Linked DNA regions of Elephas maximus indicus. The protein of the gene in region 1 interacts with the protein of each later gene in a pairwise test. Links are inferred from orthologs where the notes say so. Each region holds a gene or a part of one and is shown on either strand. Other genes may lie near its edges.

Region 1 (7,975 bases):
ATAGGGTTATTATGATGATTAAATAGGGTAATGCTTAAAAAATACTTAGTACAGCGCTTACACATAAAACAAAAACCAGACTCATCGTCATCAAGTCAGTACCGACTCATAGCAACTCTATAAAAAAAACTCTATAGGACAGTACAACTGCCCCACAGGGTTTCCAAGGCTGTAAATCTTTACGGAAGCAGGCTGGTGGGTTCAAGCCACCAACCTTTTGGTTAGCAGCCAACTGCTTAACCACTGTGCCACCAGGGCTCCTAGTACCCTACACATAAAAAAAAAAAGTAGGTACTTAATAAATATTTGGTATTTTTTTAATCATCGATATCCTATTTCACAATCACAATAACGGATCTCACTGTCCCCTTCTGTAGACGAGGGAAATGAAGGCCCAAAGGCCAGTGCCTGAGTGCATTAGTAACAGATTCAGACAGAAAGGCCAGGGCTCTTTCTCAGCAGGCCTGGTCTGCCACCCTCCCTCCAGCAGGGCATTACCAGTAGCAGGTGCTCAGTAAAGGTTTTGGACCATAAGGGCTGTGGGATCAGGCTCCTGGAAGTCTTGTCGGGATGTCCTGACTGTATGTAAAGCTCTCTCCGGTTTGAAGCCTGACGCTGTGTAACTTCTACCACTCACAAATTCTGCCTGAGACTGAGCTGCTCTTTCATAAACAGATTTGGAACTAGATCAACTGTGTCTCCTTCTAGATCACCTACTTCCACAACCTTGGGTAAATGGATTCACCTCTCTGAACCTCAGCTTCCTCATCTGTGAAATGGGGATAATAAAAGTTGTGGCCGATCCATAGGATTGTTAAGAGGTGCCAAGAAGAAGCATCCCAGTGCTGGTGCCTGCTGACCCACGGCGGGTAACTACTGGCCAAATTCTCCCTGGGTGCTTTCTCTTTTCAGGGCCGCTTAGCTGGTCGGGGTGCCTCTCTCTCCCCCTCCCGTCTTATCTTTCCCTTGCTTTCTGTCTCAGCATCTCCCAGAAGGGCAGCCTGCTGTCTGGACTCCTCCTTATTCACTGACTGATACTGAGAGCCAGGGTTGGGGCGTATGTTCCTCAGGCAGAAGGAAATGGCTCTCTGGACTGCTGGGAGGCCGGATCCTGAGCGGAAGTAGGAAGAGAAGGACAGCCGGGGAGAGCTGGTACAGAATGGCAGAGGTGGGAGGATCAGCTGACCTGGAACACTCCTGCTTGTAGATGTCGATGATGTTCTCCACCAGCAGGTTCCTCTGCAGGCCGTACACTCCATGCCGGTCCATGATCACCTCGTGGCGACAGGAGGGGCAGCGGAAACGGCCACCAGACATTGACACCGAGCCACTCCGGTTGGTCCAGTAGGGATTTGCAGCCTGCAGATGGCAAGGGCAGAGGTGGGGCCTGGGATCCCTGGCCAGCCCTTTCCCTTTCTAATCTCCTGTTAGCCGTCCCCACCCCTGCCTACACCAACCATTCTTGTCGAACCATATGACCTGCCAGAGGCCTAACTAAGGTATGGTAGGTAGGGCAGTGCCCTGGGCACCACCTGAGGAGGGGTGCTAACGAGCAGTTTTGATTCCACTGGCCACCTGAGGAAGGGTGCTAACGAGCAGTTTTGATTCCACTGGCCACCTGAGGAAGGGTGCTAACGAAGGGTGCTAACGAGCAGTTTTGATTCCACTGGCCATCCGCCATTGCAGTTTCCATCGCCAGCTGTGAGAGATCATTCAACAATTTAAGGCTAATTGCCATAGGCACTGTTTTCCACAGATAGGCCCCTGCGTGGAGCTCCCCATTCTGACATGAGAACCAGCCCATTTTACACATGGAGCACCTGAGAAGCAACTAAGCAATCAATAACCACACAAGATAATATACCTGCTTTAAGAATCGGTGAACCTGGGTTCAAGTTACATTTATTCGATAAATGACTTCGAATAAACAAACAAAAAAAAAAACCCAAACCCATTGCTGTTGTCACTTGCAACTCAGCAACCCTTTAGGACAGAGTAGAACTGCCCCACAGGGTTTCCAAGGAGCACCTGGTGGATTCGAACTACTGACCTCTTTTGGTTAGTAGCCATAGCTCTTTAACCACTACACCACCAGGATTTCCATGTGACTTTGAACAAGTAACCTTATCTAAGCCTCAGTATGCCCCTTCATGAAATGGACATTATAATTAGAGCAAGCTCCTAGGGTTGCTACTTTGAAGATAAAACAGTGAAAGAGCGTTTATGTAAAGTGCTCCTGGGGAAACTTGATCCCCGCTTCCCAGCCAGAAGGTCCACTCTGGTTCCTTTCTTAGGGCGGTTGGGCACCCCCACCCCTCCACAGGATTACAGGGACCAACCTCAAAAGGGAAGATGCCTCTACTGTCCAGTACCTCCCCACCACCCTCCTCCCAAAGCTCTGGGCCCCCTGCCACAGTAGAGCTGGCTCCAGCCCCAGGGGTCTGGTTTCTCTCTCCTTTCCGCTTGCCTCCCCTACTTATCTCTTGAGGCATTTGACTCTTGATCGGAAAGTCAACTGCCTTGCTTAGGGCAGGGGTGGGGGAGCTGTAGGCCTGATGGAGAGGGGAAACGTGCGTCATGGAGAAGGACTGGAGTGGCCAGAGCAGCCTCCCTCGCACCCCTCAGCTGAGTCCTCAGGCCTCTGCACGGGGGCGCGGGGGGGACTCATTTTGCAGGGGACAGAGCCAGCAGCAGTTTGGAAAGGTCCTGGGCTAGGTGAGAAGGGTTTTACTAGACCATGCCGGGCACTGACCTGGAAGATGTCATTGGCACACTTCCGGCAGAGGTTGTGCTGACACGGCAAGATGACCACTGGCTTGGTAAACATCTCCAGGCAGATGGGGCAGATGAGCTGCTTCTCCAAGTTCTCCATGGGGTTCCCAACCTGGATCAGACTGGATTTATAATCCATATTGTCGGTAGGTATAGGCCTACCTGGCTGCCTCCTTCGCCTGCACCTAACTATGGGCAGACCTGGGGCTCTTGCCTTTGTCACAAAACACCCGCACAGAGCCTCTTTGCCTCCTTCTTCTGGCGCCCGAATTCTGTCTTGGGCTGAGGCCCCTCTGATATTTATAGCTGGACCCTGGTCACATGAGCCCCGGGAGGGAACCAGCTGAGCATTCCGATGCCAGTTGGCTGCCGGGGTTTGAGTTTCCTCCAGGCCTGGAAGACTCACCCTCTCAAATCACACGTGGGGATGAGCAATCGCTGTTCTCCCAGGATGGGGGTCGTAAACAAGAACAGCCTGTTCGGAGGCAGGCCGCAGGGGGGAATGGGTACTCAGAATTGTCTCCAGAAATTGTTTCTCCCCCCGACCCCCGGCTGGGGAGGCAGGGCTGGGACTCATCCAGCGAACCATTAGGATTCAAGGGGTTAATAGCCAGTGCCCCCTCAAAGACAGGAGAGAAACCCTCTGACCTAAATCAAGTCCTTTCCCCTCAGGGCTTTGAACCTGATCTGTCCCTTTTGAACTCCTGCTGAGAATTTGCACTTCTAACAAGCCCCTCCCCCACCCAGTTATACATAAGAATCACCTGGGGATCTTGCTAAACTATAGATTCTGGTTCAGTGTATCTGGGGTGGAAAAGCAAATCCTCAGCAGAGAACTTGTTAGAAATGCAAATTCTCAATAGGTGTTCAAACCCCAAGTTGGAAGCCCTGTTTCTCTTCTCTGGAGTCCTGGGCACCTCCCAAGATGTGGGGTAAGGGAGCCCCTCTTTCTGAGCCCATCCCTCTGCCTCGGACCTGAGCACAACATTTTGCAGGAGACCTTGGAGTCCCCATCCTCTATCCCTTGATAGGGACCCCATCCTTCCATCAAATCTTCTTGAGTCTCCTAGCCAGTCCCTCCATCCCTTGGCCACCAACTCCACTTTCATGTTGAAAGGGCTTCCTGGAGCTCATCCGGTCCTCTCACTGTATAGATTTTGAAACTGGGATTTGGAGAAAGAAAGGGTCTTGTCACTTGAAAAGTAGTAGGTGGCAAAGCCAGGAGCCTTATTTATTCATCAAACATTTTTCTGGCTATACATTAGGCACCAAGGTGACAGGTAAATGAGTAATCCCTTTCCCTGCCCTGAGATGCTCACAGCCCAGGAAGTGAGACAAAAATAACTATCATATTGGAGCCCTGGTTGCTCAGTGGCTAACAGCTATGGCTGCTAACCAAAAGGTCAGCAGTTCGAATCCACCTGCTGCTACTTGGAAACCCTGTGGAGCAATTCTGCTCTGTCCTGTAGGGTCCCTATGAGTCAGAATCAACTCAACGGCAATAGGTAGGTAGAGCCACAAATTTCCTAACCTAGATCCATAGAAGTTATCCAGATGTTGCTCTCTGCACAAATTTTAGAGTTTCTCCATGTCCTTCTGGACATCTTCCATGTTGGCAGGTTGCTGTTGTTGTTATTAATTGCCATCAAGTTGGCTCCAATTCATGGCAACCTTATGTATAACAGAACAAAACATTGCCTGGTCCCACATCATCCTCACAATTGTTGGTGTGTTTTAGCCCATTGTTGCAGCTACTGTGTCAATCCATCTTGTGGGGGGTTTCCCTCATTTTCACTGATCCTCCACTTTACCAAATGTGATGTGCTCATCTAGTGATTGGTCTTTCCTGATGACATGTCCAAAGCAAGCAAGACAAAGTGTCACCATCCTAACTTCTAAGAAGCATTCTGACTGTACTTCCTTCAAGACTGAATTGTTTGTACCCCTGGCGATCCACAGTATATTCAATACCCTTCGCCAACACCACAATTCAAATGCGTCAATTTTTCTTTGGTCTTTCTTTTTCATTGTCCAGTTTTCCCATGCATATGAGGCAATTGAAAAGATCATGTCTAGAGTCAGGCGCACCTTAGTATCAAAGTGACATCTTTGTTTTTTAACACTTTAAACAGGTCTTTTGCAACAGATTTTCCCAATGCAATATGTTGTTAGATCCTTGACTGCTGTTTCCATAGGTGTTGATTGTTGATCGTTGATCCAAGTCAAATGAAATCCTTTACAACTTCAATCTCCATCAATTCCTGGAGCTTTGGTTTTCTCTAATGCCTTCATTACAGCTTGAATGCCTTCCCTCAACACCAGCAGTTCTTGATCACATGCTACCTCCTGAAATGGTTGTACGTCAGCCAGTTCTTTTTGGTACAATGACTCTGTTTATTCCTTCCATTTTCTTTCGGTGCTTCCTGCATCATTAAATTTTTTGTCCATAGAAGTCTTCAATATTGTAACTTAGGCTTAAATTTTCTTTTCAGTTCTTTCAGCTTGAGAAATACATATCGTGTTCTTCCCTTTCGGTTTTCTAACTCCAGGTCTTTGCATATATCATTATAATTTTCCTTGTCTTCTCAAGCCTCCCTTTGATATCTTTTGTTCAGCCCTTTTACTTCTTCTGTTTGCTTTAGTTACTCTGTGCTTAAGAGCAAGTTCCAGAGTCTCTTCTGACACATTCATTTTGGTCTTTTCCTTCTTTCTCTTAACTATCTTTCACTTTCTTCATGTATGATTTCTTTGATGTCATCCCTCCCACAACTCATCTGGTCTTCAGTCATTAGCATTCAGTGCATCAGATCCATTTTCAGATGGTCTCTAAATTCAGGTGGGATGTACTCAAGGCTGTCATGGACTTGCTTCGATTTTCTTAGGCTTCATCTTGAACTGGCATGCAAGCAATTGATGGTCTGTTTTTTTCTGTAATCAGCTCCTGGTTTTGTCTTGACTGATAACATTGAAGTTCCCCATCATTTCTGTACACAGGTATAGTCGATTTGATTCCTGTGTAATCCATTTGGTGAGGTCCATGTGTATAGTTCATGCTGTTGAAAAAAGTGTTTCCAGTGAATAACTCATTGGTCTTAAAGAATTCTGTCATGCAATCTCTGGCATTGTTCCTATCACCAAGGCCATATTTTCCAGCTACTATTCCTTCTTCTTTGTTTCCAGCTTTCAATTCCAATCATCAGTAATTATCAATGCATCTTGATTACATGTTTGGTCTATTTCAGACTGCAGCAGTTCGTAAAAATCTTCAGTTTCTTCATCTTTGGTATTTGTGATTGGTGCATAAATTTGAACAATAGTCATATAAACTGGTCTTCCTTTTAAGCATACGGATATTAGCCTATCACTGACAGAGTGTACTTCAGGAGTGATCTTGAAATGTTCTTTTTGACTGTGAATGTGACACTGTTCCTCTTCAATTTGTCATTCCCGGCATAGGAGACCATATGTTTGTCTGATTCGAAATGGCCAATACCAGTCCATTTCAGCTCACTATTGCCTACAATGTTGATCTTCAAGCATTCAATTTTATTTTTGATGACTTCCAATTTTCCTCGCTTCATGCTTTATACATTCCATGTTCTGATTATTAATGGATGTTTGCACCTGTTACTTCTCATTTTGAGTCAAGTTGGCAGGTAGAAGTCATTAAGGCAGTTCCAGTGGTTGTTTTTAGGGTAGAATCTCATGCAAAGGGACTTTGAAGCTACCCTGTATAAAGTGCTGGAGCAGGAGAGTGGGTAGAGTTCAGGAGCAGTGGCATCAGACATCAGGATGAACCTTATGAGGCCATGGAACATACAGCAGGCATATCAAGAAAAAGGTACAATGGGAGAATAGATTTGATCACATCAGTCCCAAGAAGATTTGATGACTGAAGCCACAAGACAAGGCCTAGTGAGTAGTAATGGCAGAGGATCTAAACTTGGGAAAAGGAGGAAATGGGAGGGAGAAGATAAGGAGCCTATCTGAAAAAGAGGAGACCTAGAAGACAAAGGGCAGGAGATTTTCAAGGGGAAGGTGGTCTCCATAAAATGTTAATATCTAGTTTTTGCTGAACACTTAGGTACTGTGTGCCAGGCACTGTGCTAAGTGCTTTGTATGTATCATTTCATTTCGTCTATATGTAATGTTTCATTTCATCATCTCAATAACCAATAATATAAGAACCATTGTATCCTCAATCCACAGATGGAGAAACTCAGGCAAGGAGAGGCAAAAAACTTATATGTGGTCACACAACTAGTAAGAAGTGATTCCAGGACATAAACCCAGATATGCTCGACTCAGGAGCCCAACTCTCTCACCTCTCCACTGAATAACCAGTCAGCACTACCAGGCCAGCCAGGGGTCAGAGAGGGATAAGGATTGAGAAAAGTCTATCCTAGCTTCCTTACTCGCAAAATTCCTGTTTTGTTCACGCGTCGGCACCACTATGCTCAGGGAGGAGAAAGCTTCATTCCTGCCTTTGAGTGGAGTTGTGAGAGGATGGGGTGGCCACCATCTTGTAACCATGGGGGGACAAGCCCAAGGAAGAAATCAACACCCTGAGGATGGCAGAGAGGAACTATAGAAAACTGCTGGGTCATTGATGCCCTCATTGTGCTGCCAGTTTATTCAACCCTGAAGCTGCCTACTTATGGATTACTTAAGACGTGAAACAGCAAATGCCATTGTAGTTGAATTATTCTCTTACTTGCAACTGAAACCATCCTATATACATTTATGATTCCAACTCCTATCTGCCAATGATTCCTAAATCTCTATTTTCAGGGCTTCTCTCTTCCCTAAGCTACAAATTTGTTAGAGATCCCTACTGGGGATGTCCCAAAAGCACCTCAAACTCACCATATCCTAAATGGAACACATCATCTTGCCCATGCAATGCTCCTCCTTCTCTTTTCCCTGTCTTAGTGAATAGCACTACCATCCACCCATTTGCACAGACTGAAAAGCTGGGAGTCCTATTATGGCTCCTGCCTTCCTCCCATTGCACACCCAGCCGATCTCTGCATCAGGCATGGCTTCATCTTTGTGTCTCAATTGTCGTACTGTTATCATCTGTGAGTTTGACTCTTCAGATTTTAAAGACCTGTGGGTGCCTGTCTCTATTCATCTCTGTACCCCCAGTGCCTGGCACACAGTAGGCACTCAACAAATGTGTTTTAAATGAATAGATGAGTGA
Region 2 (7,705 bases), on another chromosome or scaffold:
AGAGTAGAACTGCCCCATAGGGTTTCCAAGGCTCTAAATCTTTACAGAAGCAGACTGCCACATCTTACTCTCAAGGAGCCGCTGGTGGGTTCAAACCTCAGATTTTCAATTATCAACCGAGTGCTTAACCACTGCACTACCAGGGCTCCTGCATTAGGTCTGCAAGTTTCTCTATGTTAATCCTTAATTAAAGTTTGATTTGTCCAATTAAGTAAACAATTAAACCAAGTGTTTAAGTAGTGAGCTTTTTTTTTTTTTTTTTCCTTCCTAACATTGAATTCTCAGGTCAAAGTGGCAAAATTCCTTTGGGCTTATGTATCTCGTATTTCTCCAACTGTATGAAGTTATAATAGCCTTATTGTTTTTTTTTTCCCCACACCAGGCTGCCATCTTTATGAAAGTTACGCATTTGTTAAAGTAAATTAGCATTAAATAATTTTTTCAGACGGTCATAATATGAGAAGTTCTGAAAGATTATCATAACCAAGCCTATTTTACTTGCACATTGCTTTACAGGTCTTTATTTTTTCTGTCATTAATTATCCAAATCCTTGATTTTGTTACAGATAGAAAACTGAATCACTGAGCAGGTACGGTACTTACTGAATGCCACACAACAAGCTTTTGGAAAAGGAATAATTAGCATTAAAAGAGTTTCCCTCAATTTCCAGTCTTTGGTTCGATCAGTTGAATAAATGCTTGTCTAAGGGCTTTCTACCGAGGAAAAGCTAAATAAAGCTTTCAAACTTCTCTAGGTCGGGATCAAAGGATTATTTTAGAAGACAGGGCAAAGTTAAGCCCATCATTACAATGAAGGAGTTGTGCACAAATGTTCAAAGGGCCAGAGCTTTTCACCCTGTACAGCTGGACATGGAACGGGTATCAAGTGGCTATGGGAAGATTAAAAAAGTTATCTATAGTTGCTGAAAATGGAACAGCTAAAGCTGAATCTTTGATCTCTGGTTTGGGGACCTCCTATGCTTTATTTCTTATCCTCTCTACTTTTTCTTTCTTCTTAGGTCTGTGCACAAAGCTAGGTATGTGTTTGAGGCTCACTAAATACTTGTTTGATAGCTTTATTTTCTGGGTAGGTATTTAGAATAGAATTGAAAGACTTTGCTAATAAAAATATTATAATCAGAAAAGGTCGTTTTAAATGGAAAAAAGCTCATTATAGGAAACTTGGAAATAATAGGAAGCTTGATGGAAAGTGGTCATCTAGGTAGAGTGTACCTGGAAAAATCTCTGATGTGTAATAATGGTATAATGCGGATTTGGAAGAGAAGAGAGAATGGGTTCTAAATCCTTTAAGGCATTCTTTTAAAATATTAGGTCAAACCTATGAGATTGCCATTTTTGTAGTCAGTTGACTCTCAGCCACTTTAAATGGTTCAACCTACTATCTATAGAATTCTGACAAATGTTTTTGGCTTTCCTGATTTTTAAAAATATTGGCGAAGTTTCTTTGCAAGTTGAATTGTTAACGCCAGCTAAGTGTCCAGAGTTGTTGCCAGTAGAATTTTTAGAAAAATTAACTTAAAGAAGACCAAGAAATTATCAAGAATTTCGGGGAATCTGTCAATCCTGCAACAAAACATATTTCATCAGTTTGTGAGGTGCCTCTGATTTAATTCTCTGATGTTCTAGCCAAGCCAAGGAATAGGAAAACTGATAGCCCTAAGTTTGCGTAAGTACAAAGTATTCAGTCCATGTTTTAAAAAAAGCACAACCACTATGTCCTTCATATCAGGTTCTCCTAGGACAGTTTTAGAGTTGTGGAAATAGTACAAGCTTGCATAAGACTGCAGGTATTCTTCCCTGTGTTTAGATCAGCCCAGCCAGTGTGAACAGTGTGGTTTTAATTACCAAAGGAAACCTTAAGGTCATGAGTCTTCATCTACTCAAGTCTGCTTATCATAGTGAGGAACATTCATACACTTTAATGCCTGAATCCCAGATTTTTTTTTTTTAGTCAAGTGGATCAGAGGGGAAAATGGATAGGAAGAAAAGACTAACACAGAAGAAACTCAATAGTCTCTACTTATGTGAGAGGAAATCCTAGCTGAAGAAGAGCAAACAGGTGTTCTTCATCTCAGCTGAGCCCAGAACCAGAGGAATTAAATTTGTAGCATAAGGAACTTAGCTTAGAACCAGTTCTCTATTCTTGAATGTGTTAGAAATCATTTTTTTTAAGATGAAAAATAATAAGTAATTGGATGTAGTAAGAAGTTATTTGAGTTCAACTCAGCCTGAACACTGGAACAATGAGTCAAATGGCCCTTCACTGCCAGTACCCTCATTCAAGGTGTTCTTGGAGAATTACAGAATGAGACCGTGAGGTCACATTGCCTTTTTAGATAGTGAAGAATGAACTGCAGCATACCACCAAAACTCAGATATAAGCTCACTATACATGCAAGTGTATATCCACATATATATTTTTAGAAACTCACTTACTTGGAGTCCACAGTGGAAGGTATTTTTCTGCTACTGTAATCAGGCTGTGATGGTAATACGGAGCTGAGGAAGCTGGCTGGGGACTGGTTATAGGTGGCTGCAACCCTTTGGCCTGGGTTAGAGCTAGTGAGCTGCTGGGAAGAAGCAGGGAAGGCTGAGGAGGACATGGTGATGTGAGAGCTCACTGTTGAGGAAGTAGAATATCTTTGCTCTGTGCACTGGCGGGGTTGGATGGTAATGGAAGACTGTTTGGTCTGGCTAGAGAAGCTGGCAGTTTCTGATCCAGGAGGCTGCAGTCTGGAGCCACATGGGTTTTGGGACTGGATGAAGTGTTTTGGACGTTCATAGTTAAACATGTTTAGCTGGTATATGGAAGATGAAGGCAAGTTATTAGTATAGAGATTTGCTCCTGGAGGGGTGAGGTCCTGAATTTGGGGCTGCAAGCCTGGAATTACGGAAGGTCGCAAGGAATCAGAAGCAACCTTGGTCTGCCCCTCCTTGTTGAGATCCTGGGAATACTTTGATTCTGGCTTTGATGGATTGGGCTTCTCTTGAAGAATATTGTTCCTTCAAAAGGAGAATATGATTAATGTAAGCCACGATATTTGTTTAAACAACAATACTGTTTATCATCTTTTGGAGCTTATATGCTTTTAAGGTAGCCTTAAGGTGGAACTTTCTTGGCTTCTAGGCTTCTCCTTCCTTTATCTCTGTCTTTGCACAAAATGACTTTTTCCCTTAGAATAAGAAAAAGGATTCAGTAATGTTTGTCCCCGTGTGATTCTTAAGAAAGCATGCTCAGGGACTTCAAGGTGTAGGAATGCAAAGTGGAATTTTCCAAGTGATTATTATGAAAAGAAATTCTGTGATGTTACTCAGTTTGATAGTTTAATAGTCTCATGATTAGCTTTTGCCCAGAGGCCGTAGTTTCATTAGCCAGAGAAATTTTATGATTTAAAATTAATAGCAGTTAAATAACATTTCAGTTTTCATTCAGTCTGAACTTTTCCACTCATCAAAACAGGTTAATAGACCTGATATATCAATTAATTCACGTCTTGATGATCTGTGTTGAATAAAATCTTGGTAAAACAAGGAAAGCAATATTCTTCTGTAAAGAACATTGCTTTAATGTCCATATTTATTCCTTCACTTTTTCACAGTTTCGCAAAATAGAGTGAACGACTACAATTTACTGTCGTCAGCTTCGAGTGGAATCTTTTTATTATACAATTCACTGTCTCTTTATTGTGCCTGAATTCCAGATCGACCATAGTACCAAGCTAGATGATAAATTAGGAGTGTGAGCATGTATGTGTCTGTGTTACTGACTGTATTCCAGAGCCATTTGTAAACTTATTCTGAAATTTTTAGATTATACTTTCTAGTTATAAGTTTTGATGTTCTCTTACTTAGTTTTATTTTTTATTATTTTACCTACTTAGTATGTAGTTTAGACTAATTTCAAGATTATTATTAGCTCCTCTTTTACTTTTGAAATGGCAAATGGGAAGTACAGAAGCAAGGTAACCCTGAAGTTAACCCATACCTTACCAAGAAAGGGAGGGTGACATTTGTCTCTCAGTGAACTCTGCAGTGGCCTTCCTGCCTTCCTACAGGGGATCCCTGTCATTCCTTACATGAATAATTTGCCACTAAAATCAGCCTTTAAGGATTATGTTCGCCCCTGATTTCTTTCATTAGTATTGCCAGGGCTCCATGGTAAACCTAAGTAGGACTATGTATGTATAGACTTACACACAAAGACTAGCCATATAAATTATTGTAACACTGGTCCTGTCTTCATTCAAAATATCAAGTAATTTGGTTAAAAATACATTTAGTTTGTTTTGTACAATATAAATCAACACTGAGTTAATGATAAATCAAAATTTTAACTAATAAAATTAACCAAATTGTTTTAATCAAGTCTTGTAATCTTTAAGGGTTCTATCTCGAAGAAAATATCATTGTTAATAGAACTTTTCCAGATCCAAACAACTTCATCCTAGGGTTGTGTATGTATTTTTGAGTCAAATTAAAACTAGCACTTACAGGAAAGAACAAAAGTACAAACAGCCAAGAGAAAAACTCCAATGGGAGAGAAAAAAAGCATGCTTAAAAAGTTATGTATTCCCTAATTTCAAGTTTATTGATATAAGTACCTTGAACCAGAGTGCATTTCAGTAATGACCTACATTAGGCTTTTAAATTGTTGGGGAAAAACATCCAGAAGGGGGCTTTAACGAGATCTTCTCAAAAAAGACTATATTTCAAGACAGGTAATTTTATAACCATGAGTTGTATTCATTCCATTGCAGAAGTAAATCTGGAGTTTGGTTCTTAAATTCCTTTCTGGGCAGGTGAATTATTCAGACTATTTCAAATGGCAAAAAATAATCTGTTTAAGAAATATTAAATATTTTCCAGAATGATTTCCCATTTTTTCTTTATATATATGTTCAGAATGTCAACTATCTTGTACATTTTGGTATTGGCCTCTATAATTAACAATTACTAATATATTTTAAAGCCAATTAAAAGCACAGTCTTTCAACATTTCATTTCATTCATATTTCAATGAAATTTTATACAGACATTTACATAGGTAACTTTAAAAGGCTTTTCTTTATGCTTAGTACTGTACAACAACTCAATTCTGTAATAGATTCTATAATATGGCAGTATCATTTTATTCCAAATTATATTGCATAAATTTCAAAGGTTTTATAAAGGACTACCCAGTCTGCTATTAAAAAAATCTTAGACTTTTTTTTTTTTCCTATCTCTAATATAACACAGACTTACAAAAAAACTGAGAGGATATTTTGAAGCCATAGGGCATCACCACATTGCGTGAGATCATTTGCAAGGAAAAATGATGATTTAAAAATAATGACACACAGCTACCTTTTCCTCTACCCTTTCTATAATGATTTCAAGTTTCAGTGGAATGAATAAGTCATTTTCTCTTCAGATCTTTGTATAATATTACGATGTTGTGGCTTTCAAACTGTTTATCGGAAGATCACCTTTGAATACACCCCTCTGATTTGGGGGTGAAAAAAACAACCCAAACCCAAAACTGTAGTAAGAATAAAGAAGACACTTACCCGTAGTTCCAGAGGGTGCCAGCTGGGTTTTACCCACTATCAAAGGGAAGGAAAAGGCATCCCCTTCCCTCACAGCCTAATCTAGTGGCTCTGTGCTTAGTATTATAGCACCACTGACTTTTATCAGCTGCCAGACGGTGACATCTGATGTGCTTGCTTGTCCATCTACCTATGCTGGCATGTCAAAGTAAGAGTCCACAATCTAAACAATATCTCAGATGTCTTAGTGATATTTAGGGAGTGGGATTACACGGGCTTCTTTTCCAGGCCTCTTTATTTTAGGCATGAATTTGACTATGAGCTTTAGTGAGCTTATGTAGGGGGAAGTGTAGTGAATTGGGAAGCGGGGAAAAGTAAAAAGAAAACTTTCAATTTCCTTATTGTGGTGGGTGCTTTGAATTGTCCCTGTTGAAGAGAGAAGAACTAAAAGAGAAATTATCAGTGTTCTAAGACTGAAGTGCTTCTATCTAGAAAGACTCTTCCAGAGATAAGGCCGGTAATGAATGAGCTCCAAATTGATTGTATTGAATAACCCTTCATCTGATGATTTTTTTTTTGTGTGTCTTGCCAAATAAGAGTGGGGGCAGAGTGGAATTTAAGTAGTTTGTTCCAAGAAATGATGTGTGGTCTGGACAAAGGCAAGAGAGCAGTGTCATATTGATATGTCATTGGAAAGGTAGGGAGGTGGAAACACATGATTTGTTTCATTTTAGCGAGTTTTCTGACTCTGTATCACATATGCCCCCTCGACTCAGTACTTTTACTCTAAAGGAGCTTTGAAACACTTAAAAAACAACCAACTAAATGAGCAATCTATACAATTAGGGCTCTGTCTGTCAAAGAGCTTTCGTCTCCTTTCACTCCTAACAGTTGTACAGTTTCCTTTCTCTTTTTGCCATGGAGACCACCTTGGTATTTAGGTTTTCACTTTTGTGTAGGGAGATAAATAATTACAGAGGAAGAAACCTTCAAAGAACAAAAGAAGTGGTGGAGTGGAGTGGGTGGTGTGAGAGTCAGGCCAAATGAGTGGAATTATCCGCATTTAGTGGCTTCAATTTTGGTATGATTCTGTTGTGTAAAGTGTATCTATTTTTTCCCCTCCCTCATGGGTACCCCAATTTTGATTGAATTACCACATACATTAGGCTCCAAAATGTAGATGTTTGAACACATCTGAGCCATATCAAATTCTTCACAACCGACTTTGTAGCTGTGCCATCCGTTGGTGTTCAGAGAAAATTTGACAGCTGCCCACTGGGCACACAGCCATTACGTACGTAGTAGAAAAAGTGTACTAGACTTGGTGAGTAGGTGGTTGCTGACAAAATCTTATTTCAGGAGTCCCCCAAAATATTTCTCCACATCTGCTCACTGATATCTCAAATTCCATTAATAGGAACAAAACCTTTCTATCCAAATTAGAATTCCTTATAGACTTAAAATGCAAATGCAAAGGACATAATTAAAAATAAAAAGAATAGCCAACACATATAGCACTTACTGTGAGCAAGACACTATTCTAAGCATTTTAGATGTGATATATGTGACTGATATTTGGTTCTTTTCCGAGAACAGGGTTTAATTAAGGCAAGGAAGAGGGAAGATTAGATTTGAGGTCCCTTTGTACGTGAAAGTTTCAGATATGCCCCACTGGCCAAGTAGGGAAGATGTCCAGGACAAACTGGTAAATCTCCAGTTTTCCCTAGAACAGGTTCTAAAGGTACCACAGTTGAGGAAGAATTTTAGTTCCATTTATTCTTTGTCCTTTAAGCTTTGCCTCTTCTTTTCCCTAGGCTTTTTTAAGACATAGCATCAGTTGCAGTGTGATAGCTCCATGGTGCATCAAGACGAGGTTTTCACTACAATAAGGGGATCATAGGATAACTTAGGAAAGCTAAGTAGGTTCTCTTTTATGACCCTATTCCCAGTTGTTAATGGTCAGTATTTAATAATCTATTATGAATCTTTTTCTGCTTTTTAATATTTGTCTTGCTTTTTTAAGTGATGTTTTGTTCACAAATGTGGCTATTTGATTGGTTTAGTTGCTTATTTGAGAAAAATCATAGAACCCTAAAACTAAAAGATTTTTGTCTCTAAATTATCGGTAAGGTCCTTTCGTAAGTCTTTTTAATACC

What was found.
Region 2: the proteins of TRIM63 (region 1) and MYOT interact in a two-hybrid assay, tested with the Homo sapiens proteins (2 studies listed by BioGRID). The link is inferred for Elephas maximus indicus from reciprocal best matches to the Homo sapiens genes TRIM63 and MYOT.

The regions. Positions count from the first base shown.
Region 1 is NC_064821.1:66,565,720-66,573,694, forward strand, and holds the start of TRIM63 (E3 ubiquitin-protein ligase TRIM63), read right to left. Parts: upstream 3,023-7,975; 5' UTR 2,912-3,022; coding exon 2,753-2,911; intron 1,360-2,752; coding exon 1,187-1,359; intron 1-1,186. UniProt on the Homo sapiens protein: E3 ubiquitin ligase. Mediates the ubiquitination and subsequent proteasomal degradation of CKM, GMEB1 and HIBADH.
Region 2 is NC_064820.1:150,922,901-150,930,605, reverse strand, and holds the start of MYOT (myotilin), read right to left. Parts: upstream 3,013-7,705; 5' UTR 2,814-3,012; coding exon 2,458-2,813; intron 1-2,457. UniProt on the Homo sapiens protein: Component of a complex of multiple actin cross-linking proteins. Involved in the control of myofibril assembly and stability at the Z lines in muscle cells.